Linked DNA regions of Coturnix japonica. The protein of the gene in region 1 purifies or fractionates together with the protein of each later gene. This does not show direct contact. Links are inferred from orthologs where the notes say so. Each region holds a gene or a part of one and is shown on either strand. Other genes may lie near its edges.

What was found. The genes of interacting proteins can lie anywhere in the genome.
Region 2: the proteins of BCCIP (region 1) and EIF6 purify together in Homo sapiens (affinity purification with mass spectrometry; 3 studies listed by BioGRID and IntAct, counting the BioPlex papers as one, with this or other methods). This does not show direct contact. The link is inferred for Coturnix japonica from reciprocal best matches to the Homo sapiens genes BCCIP and EIF6.

Annotation. Positions count from the first base shown.
Region 1 is NC_029521.1:28,918,600-28,922,692, reverse strand, and holds the start of BCCIP (BRCA2 and CDKN1A-interacting protein), read right to left. Parts: upstream 2,808-4,093; 5' UTR 2,774-2,807; coding exon 2,657-2,773; intron 2,446-2,656; coding exon 2,371-2,445; intron 2,257-2,370; coding exon 2,176-2,256; intron 1,638-2,175; coding exon 1,542-1,637; intron 1,033-1,541; coding exon 845-1,032; intron 402-844; coding exon 227-401; intron 1-226. UniProt on the Homo sapiens protein: During interphase, required for microtubule organizing and anchoring activities. During mitosis, required for the organization and stabilization of the spindle pole.
Region 2 is NC_029535.1:1,201,133-1,205,414, forward strand, and holds the start of EIF6 (eukaryotic translation initiation factor 6), read left to right. Parts: upstream 1-1,480; 5' UTR 1,481-1,588; coding exon 1,589-1,695; intron 1,696-1,770; coding exon 1,771-1,856; intron 1,857-3,743; coding exon 3,744-3,919; intron 3,920-4,282. UniProt on the Homo sapiens protein: Binds to the 60S ribosomal subunit and prevents its association with the 40S ribosomal subunit to form the 80S initiation complex in the cytoplasm. Behaves as a stimulatory translation initiation factor downstream insulin/growth factors.

The DNA.
Region 1 (4,093 bases):
TTGTAAAATTCACATTAAATACTAAAATGATCGCCATTGTTACAGCTTAATGGCATCAGAATAAAAAGCAAAAGGAGAAACCAGTGCCCCTCTGATTCGTTTTGAAACAGCACCTCATTTTGTGGTATTTTTGGAAGTAACCTTGGAAGTTTAGGTGAAACACCTTTTTTGCAAGTGTTGCAATGAAAAAATCAACATTTTAAAGTAATAGAATTGTGTACGTTACCTCATAAAAGAATTCCTCCTCTGCATTTGCAAACATTAATTCCTCCTTCTGCTGATTTCTCCCTTCTTTCCTCTTAGAATTCTTTGTGGCTTCTGTAAAGGTTTTGCTGATAAGAAGGTAATAGTGACACTTCCCACAAGGTTTGTTTGTTCTCTGCGCCTCCTTTAATTCTTTCCTGAAGATAAATAAATATTCAGGTGTACCATTTAATCATGAGTGTCCATAATTAAAAGCCTCAGCAAGTGTAAATCCCACAGTGTGTTAGTTTAGAAAGTCCATTTGTACTACACCCTTAAGTCCCTTAACTTCTCCCAGCTGAAAGTAAAAACAGACTGTAATACAAAGTTGAACTATAACATAGCTGGTTTTCTCTAAGGAAGTAGCTAAGACAGTATTACAGCACATTATTTGTAAGAGCACAGTTTGAAAGCCCAAGGGTGTTTAAAAAACTAAGTGAAACCATAGACCTTACAGATGAAAATCATCTTTTTGTTTTTACGTCTTACTGAGAGCATCAGTTCTCTTACCACAGTACTATACAAGAGATATGAAGTATTGATCATCTTCATGTTAATCACGAAATAAAACATGAAATAAAACACAGCGAAAACCACTTACTGAAGCTGCTGGTGCATGGGCAAAGCAATCTGTGGTGGTACATTAATGAACCTCTCACTCAGCAGCAAACCCACAGGCTTAGTATCATCCTTCAGGAGCTCATCCAGTTGTTCAACCACGCGCTGTTCACAGTTTTGCTCACACCGACTTAGAATCAGCTCTTTGATTTGTTCAGCACATTGTGTACCCTAGAATCGAAAGGCACACATTCTTTATGTTACACAACAACTGTTTACACAAGAAAATCACCAGCTTCAAGGGAGGATCCAACAGTCCTATAGACAGACTCCTTTAGTGGTTCCTGAAGCAATGCACAATTCCGCAACCCTGAAGAAGAGTGAAACCAAAAATTCTTTACTGACAGGAGCGCAGTGAGGAGCTACGACACCACAACATTTAATAGCAAAACTCAACAGCTGCTCAAGATGGAAGTAAAGAAATGGAAGAGTAGGCAGCTCAGCCGCCCTGGAAATACTGGTCAGATCAGTCTTAATTCTCTGTTTCAATTCTCTGACCTTCAGCAAGTTATGCAGGACTAGATCCAAAAGAAACCGAAGTGATGCAGAACTTCCAAGCCCATAATCCTCCACAGCAGGATTCAGAATCCTCATCCAACTATCACAACATGCTGTTCCAAGCAGAAAAGCAGAACACAGCCACACTTACATCAGCCCAGAAGTTAAACAGGAATACCAACCTTCCTTTCAGTTAAGTTTAGGAAGCTTATAAAACCAAAGACTTCATCATCATCAACATCATCATCATCACTGCTGTCTTCTTGTACTTCTGCTTGCTGTTTGATGAAAGAAAGAGAAATAATTCACACTGACATTCTATTTCCACTCCTTGCACTGGAATATGTTTGTTTGCTTTCCAGAAGATACATTTGTTACCTAAGAATCATATTAATGCTGGGCAGAAAAACTCAGGACCCATTCCAGGGTCCTTTCTAAAGCCCACAAGAGGAAACTGGAGGCTGTGGATGCCCCATCCCTGCAGGCATTCAAGGCCAGGCTGGATGTGGCTCTGGGCAGCCTGGGCTGCTGGTTGGTGACCCTGCACACAGCAGGGGGTTGGAATTGAATGATCACTGTGGGCCTCTGCAGCCCAGGCCATTCTGTGAGTCTATGACTCTATAAATTGCACATAACAATAAACCAGTTTCACTGTTTGGCATGGAAAATATCAGGTCCAACAGGAGAATTAATCCCCAAACAAAGTCAAGCAAGTTACAAACAGCACTGAAGACACGACTCACTTCCAGAAATGCAATGCTGCATTTCAAAGCAAGCAACGTTGTACTTAATTTACAACAGCCACTTCTGCCTTACCTTGATGATACTTCCAATATGATTCTGTTGTATCAATATATCGGTTAACTCCGCGGTGTTAACGGGAGCTTTTAGAAACAGCTGGAAAACAAAAAGCAAGGCTGGTTTAGATGCAGTACGGACAATGTGAGCTGCTGCCTCCTTGCAGCTGTTTATCCACATAAGCATCATCCCTGCTGACATGATGCACAGTACCTGCTGCAGCAGCTTCTTTATCCCGTTGTAGTCACTGTCTGATATTGAATGCGCTTCAAATTCAACATTCACTTCCTACAAAAATAGGGAAAATTAAGCGGATTTGGCGAGCAGGAAAACGGAGCCGGGGCTTTAAGAGACGATAAGGTTTGCTACCATCAGCCTGTCCCCACCCCCATTTTAGTAGGGTAACTTCTCCTACCGGCCAAACGGAACCCCCTGCTCACCCCGTCCATCCCCCTGCTCACCCCGTCCCCCTGCTCACCCCGTCCATCCCCCTGCTCACCTCGTCCACCTGCTCGTCCTCCTCGGACTCCGAATCTCCCGATTCCGGCTCCGAATCCGATCCCGAGTCCCGTTCCGGGGCTGCAGGCCTTGCCCTGCGCTTGGCCGGCGTGGCCATATTGGCGCTGTGCGCATGCGAGGCGGACACGGAAGGGAGAGCGGAGGGAGGGGAGGAGCCGGGCCGGGGCGGCCGGGAGCGGAGCGGGGCAGGTGAGAGGGGGAGATCAAAGCCCATAAGTGCTATTAATGGGTGAGCCTCAGTCGCACCGTGTTTCATGTAAGGCCCTGTGTGTCGTTAATGACGGGGACGAGTGCTAATAAAGTCGCTAGGAGGGGCCTGAGCCATGCTGCAGTGTGTGCACAGGGGGATGTCAGCTGTGTGTGTGCTACATGGATGGGGGCTGCCTTACCTTGGAGGGGCAAGTTGGGTTGGATTGGGACAAGTTGGGCTGGGTCATGTTGGGTTGATTCAGGTTGGGTTGGTTGGGTCAGGCTGGTGGGGTTGGATCACATTGGGTTGGTTGGGTTGGGTTGGTTGAGTTGGGTTGGATTCATGTTGGGTTGGATTCATGTTGGGTTGGATTCAGGTTGGGTCATTTGGATTGAGTCACATTGGGTTGGTTGGATTGGATTGGATCAGGTTGGGTTGGATTGGATCAGGTTGGGTTGGGTTGGGTTGGGTCAGGTCAGTTTGGTTGGATTAGTTCAAGTTGTGCTGGGGGATCTGAGTGGTCATTTTCAGCCTGAATGATTCTATAAGAGGTCTGAGTCCTGCAGTCCCAGGGGATTGCCAGGTCAGGGTTGGGTTTTGGGATGTAGACACCTGAATGGCAGGAATTATTATTCAGAAAAGTTGCTTGTGTTTAATGGTGTATATACAATGTTATCTCACAGGTAATCTTTCTTTCCTTCTCTGGTTATTGAACTCAGCTATTTGCTAGGAAAGAATAGTGGTAAAAAATACATAACATCAGAAAAGGGTTGTTTTCAGAGCATATGTCAGCAGTGTTTTGTAATTCACTTCCATTTCAGTTTATGACATTCCCGTTACGCTTGGCAATCAATCCTTGCTGTGCGACCTATGCAGTTTCTTACAATAAAAGAGGAGCTGGAGTTATATTAAAGCTTGATGTATTTTGCAGCTCTCAGTGTCACTCAGAAGCAGAAACAGCAGGACACATTTCTTTCTTTCTGGAAGCCATCCTCTCTCATAGAAATAGTTTGCAATTAGTTTGGAGGCAGCTTTTCAGATGGGAGGGAGTGGGGAATTGGAGATACGCACTGTAATCGCTGTTACTGAAGCTGCCATGTCTTGTGTGCTTTCTCTTAATGATTCATTGGCGATGCTTGTTGGGGTTCTTGACCCCTTAAGCGTGTTGAGCTGCAAGCTGCTGTTGTAATGTGCTGTGTTGGACAGCCATCCATGTTCCTTTGCTGC
Region 2 (4,282 bases), on another chromosome or scaffold:
GGGGCCATGTTAGAAATAAAGGCGCTGTTCTGCTGCAAACAGCCGTGTTGGGTCCCTGCTGCGTGGGGGGCAGCGCGAGCTCAGACAGGGCCTCGAGCCGTGCCGTGCAGTGCTGTGCTGTGCTGTGCTGTGCTGTGCCGTGCCGGGCCGTGCTGTGCCGTGCAGTGCTGTGCCGTGCAGTGCTGTGCTGTGCTGTGCTGTGCCGTGCTGTGCCGTGCTGTGCTGTGCTGTGCTGTGCTGTGCCGTGCCGTGCTGTGCTGTGCCGTGCTGTGCCGTGCTGTGCTGTGCTGTGCTGTGCCGTGCCGTGCTGTGCTGTGCAGTGCTGTGCCGTGCAGTGCTGTGCCGTGCTGTGCCGTGCTGTGCTGTGCTGTGCCGTGCAGTGCTGTGCTGTGCCGTGCTGTGCTGTGCAGTGCTGTGCTGTACCGTGCTGTGCCGTGCTGTGCTGTGCAGTGCTGTGCCGTGCAGTGCTGTGCTGTGCAGTGCTGTGCTGTGCTGTGCAGTGCTGTGCCGTGCTGTGCTGTGCCGTGCAGTGCTGTGCCGTGCCGTGCAGTGCCGTGCCGTGCCGTGCCGTGCCGTGCAGTGCCGTGCTGTACCGTGCTGTGCTGTACCGTGCTGTGCAGTGCTGTGCCGTGCTGTGCAGTGCTGTGCCGTGCAGTGCTGTGCTGTGCTGTGCTGTGCAGTGCTGTGCTGTACCGTGCTGTGCTGTGCTGTACCGTGCTGTGCTGTACCGTGCTGTGCAGTGCTGTGCCGTGCTGTGCAGTGCTGTGCCGTGCAGTGCTGTGCTGTACCGTGCTGTGCTGTACCGTGCTGTGCAGTGCTGTGCAGTGCTGTGCTGTGCTGTGTCGTGCAGTGCTGTGCTGTACCGTGCTGTGCTGTGCTGTGCTGTGCTGTACCGTGCTGTGCTGTACCGTGCTGTGCTGTACCGTGCTGTGCTGTGCCGTGCTGTGCTGTACCGTGCTGTGCTGTGCTGTGCTGTGCTGTACCGTGCTGTGCTGTGCTGTGCTGTGCTGTGCCGTGCTGTGCTGTACCGTGCTGTGCTGTGCTGTGCTGTGCAGTGCCGTGCTGTGCCGTGCTGTGCCGTGCCGTGCCGTGCCGTGCTGTGCAGTGCTGTGCCGTGCAGTGCTGTGCCGTGCCGTGCTGTGCCGTGCCGTGCCGTGCTGTACCGTGCCGTGCTGTGCTGTACCGTGCCGTGCCGTGCCGCACCACGAAGACACTGGCGGCGGCTGCCCATGGGCGGCACTGCGGCTACGGCTGGAACGGCAGGTCGGTGGGCTGCAGGCGGGGCTGGGAGCAGCACACGGAGCAGCACACGGAGCAGCACACGGAGCAGCACACGGAGCAGCACACGGCAGCTGACCCTGCACGCTGCACGTTTTCCTGCAGCCGCTCCCGTCCATCCGGGCGGCGGGGCAGCAGCAACTCCCGTCCCGCAGGGGGCGCTGTTCCTCCTGGCGCTCCCGGGGCCGCTCTGTCCCGCTCCTTCCGCCGTCAGAAGCGGAAGCGGCCTCGCCGCGTGGGGTTGGCCGCGGCCGCCGCTCCCGGTCGTGCATCTGTCCGTCGGTCCGTCGGTCCGTGCCTGCTCGCAGCCATGGCCGTCCGCGCCAGCTTCGAGAACAACAACGAGCTGGGCTGCTTCGCCAAGCTGACCAACGCCTACTGCCTGGTGGCCATCGGCGGCTCCGAGAACTTCTACAGGTGAGAAGCCACGAGGGCCCGGCCCAGCCCGGCCCGCTCCCTGTGCCCGCTCCTAACGGCGCCTTGTTGTTGCAGCGTGTTCGAGGGGGAGCTGTTCGGGACCGTCCCGGTGGTGCACGCCTCCATCGCCGGCTGCCGCATCATCGGCAGGATGTGTGTGGGTGAGTATGTGAGTGTGTGTGGGTGAGTGTGTGTGTGTGAGAGTGTGTGTGTGTGAGAGTGTGTGTGTGTGTGTGTGTGTGTGTGTGTGTGTGTGTGTTTGTGGGTGAGCGGCCGGGAGGAGCGGAGGGACGGCGGGGCCGTGCCCGCCCCGAGAGACCCGCAGTGCGGTGCGGAGCGCGGGGAGACGGCGGCGCTCCTCGTCCTCGGGGGGTTTATTTGGTCGCACCGTAGGGATGTTGTAACGCTGGAGAAGATTGTAGAATCCTTAGAGTTGGAAGGGACCTCTGGAGGCCATCGAGGCCAGCTCCCCTGCAATGAACGGGGACGCTACAGCTTGATCAGCTACCCCAGGGCCTTATCCAACCTCGCCTTGGAAGTCTCCAGGGTTGGGCCATAAAACACATCCCTCAGTAACCTCAGCTCTTCCTGTGCCTCACCACCATCGCTGGCAATGATTTTTAAGGCTCTTCTGTACTGTTCTGGATACAGTACTCCAGGTGAGGCCTCAGTGCAGAGCAGAGGGGCAGGATCACCTCCCATACTCTCCTGACCTTGCATCTTTTGATGCAGCACAGGATACATGTGGCTTTCTGGGCTGTGCGGGCAGTTTCCAGCTGTCACAGTTTTGTGCCCACCAGCTTCCAATCCCCCAGTGCCCCCAAGTCTTTCTTGGCAGGGCTGCACTCAGTCCTTTCATCCCCCAGCTTGTATTGGTAACAGAGGTTGCCTCAACCCAGGTGCCAGATCACACACTTGGGTTTGTTGAACTTCAAGAGATTCACCTGGGTGCATTGCTCAGCCCGTGCAGGTCCCTCTGGATGACATTCCATCTTGAGCATGTTGCCCCCACCCTGCAGCTTGATGTCGTCAGCCAACTTGCTGAGGGTTCACTCGACTCCACTGTCAGTGTCACTGATGAAGATACTAAAGAGTATCAGTCCCAGCACTGACCCCTGGGGGACACCACTCATCACTGAACTCCATCCAGGCCATGAGTCATTGACCTCTGCTCTTTGGACTTGATCCCACAGTCAGTTCTTTGTCCGTTGAGGAGTCCACCCATCAAATCTGTATATTTCCAATTTGGAGAGAAGGATGTTGTGGGCACTGTGTCAAAGGCCTCACTGAAGTTCAGATAGATGACATCAGTGGCTCTTCCCTCATCCACTGATGTAGTGAAATAAAATAAAAATCAAGCCTGGCCAATAGAAACAAACGAAACCCAACAATAAAACAGCCACCAAAAATAGGGTTAGAGGGAGTGCCTGCTGGTCAGGACTTGAAGAGAGGTCAGTGATGTGCATAAATTGGTTTTTGTAGTAAGCAGGGAGAAGCCGCTCTGTTTCACTGGGAGGTCAGTGATTCAGAAACATTGCTGGAGGGAGCATTCCAGATGTGAAGGGCAAAGAGAGGTCTTTCACTGCCTGGCTGTTTAGTAGAGCACACTTGGTGCTTGCTGTTTGTTCCTGGGCAGCCTGTTCACACAGTCTTACAGCCTTGCTAAAGGAAAGGAACAAAAGCGAGCACAACATGTAGGCTTTATGGGGATGGTCAGTGTCTCTTGGGGGGAAAGCATACCAAAGTGTTTTGTTTAGAACCTTGTGTGTCCCATTGAAAAGGCTGGATAAAAGTAGTGCAGTTTACCTGTTTATATTCTGAAGTCTTTGTTTCATCTTCGTTTTCCCCCTCACCTTTGCTTTTGTATTAATAAATGGTCACGTTATTTCTGTGGGACTGAATTTAGGGCTTGAAAAGAGTGGATAGGGGCCCCACACCATTGTGTGAGCATCATAGTGAGCACGATGGAAATATTTGCTTTTTTAGAATTACCCAAAGGTGGAACTCTTTGTTTTCTTTCTCCTTGTCTTGTTTTTGGGTCATCTTAGGGAATAGGCACGGACTGTTGGTCCCGAGCAGTACAACAGACCAAGAGCTTCAGCACATCCGTAACAGCCTTCCAGATTCTGTGCGAATTCAGCGAGTGGAGGAGCGGCTCTCGGCGCTGGGCAATGTCACTACCTGCAATGACTACGTAGCTCTCGTTCATCCGGATCTGGACAGGGTATGTGGCTTCTGAATTCAGTGTGGATGCATCTGATATTATTCCTAAGTTGCAGTTTCAGCTTGTAGCTATTGGGGATTACTGTAAGTAGTGTCAATGTAGGAGAACTATACTGACAGCTGAGCTAGCATCACGTAGGAAGCCGTGTTCCCTGTTTCCTTTCCTCTCAGGAGAGAAATTACAGTACTAGATTTTGAACTTATGACTCAGTTTCAGTCGATCTGTTTCTTTTCCTATTGTTATCTTTACTTGTAGGTGTGGATCCTGTCCTAGGTACATAGTGTGCATTCTGCATCCAGCATGCTGTAGTTAACTGTGCTTATAGAAAGAAAGGAGTGGGATATGGAAGAGTACTGTGAGATG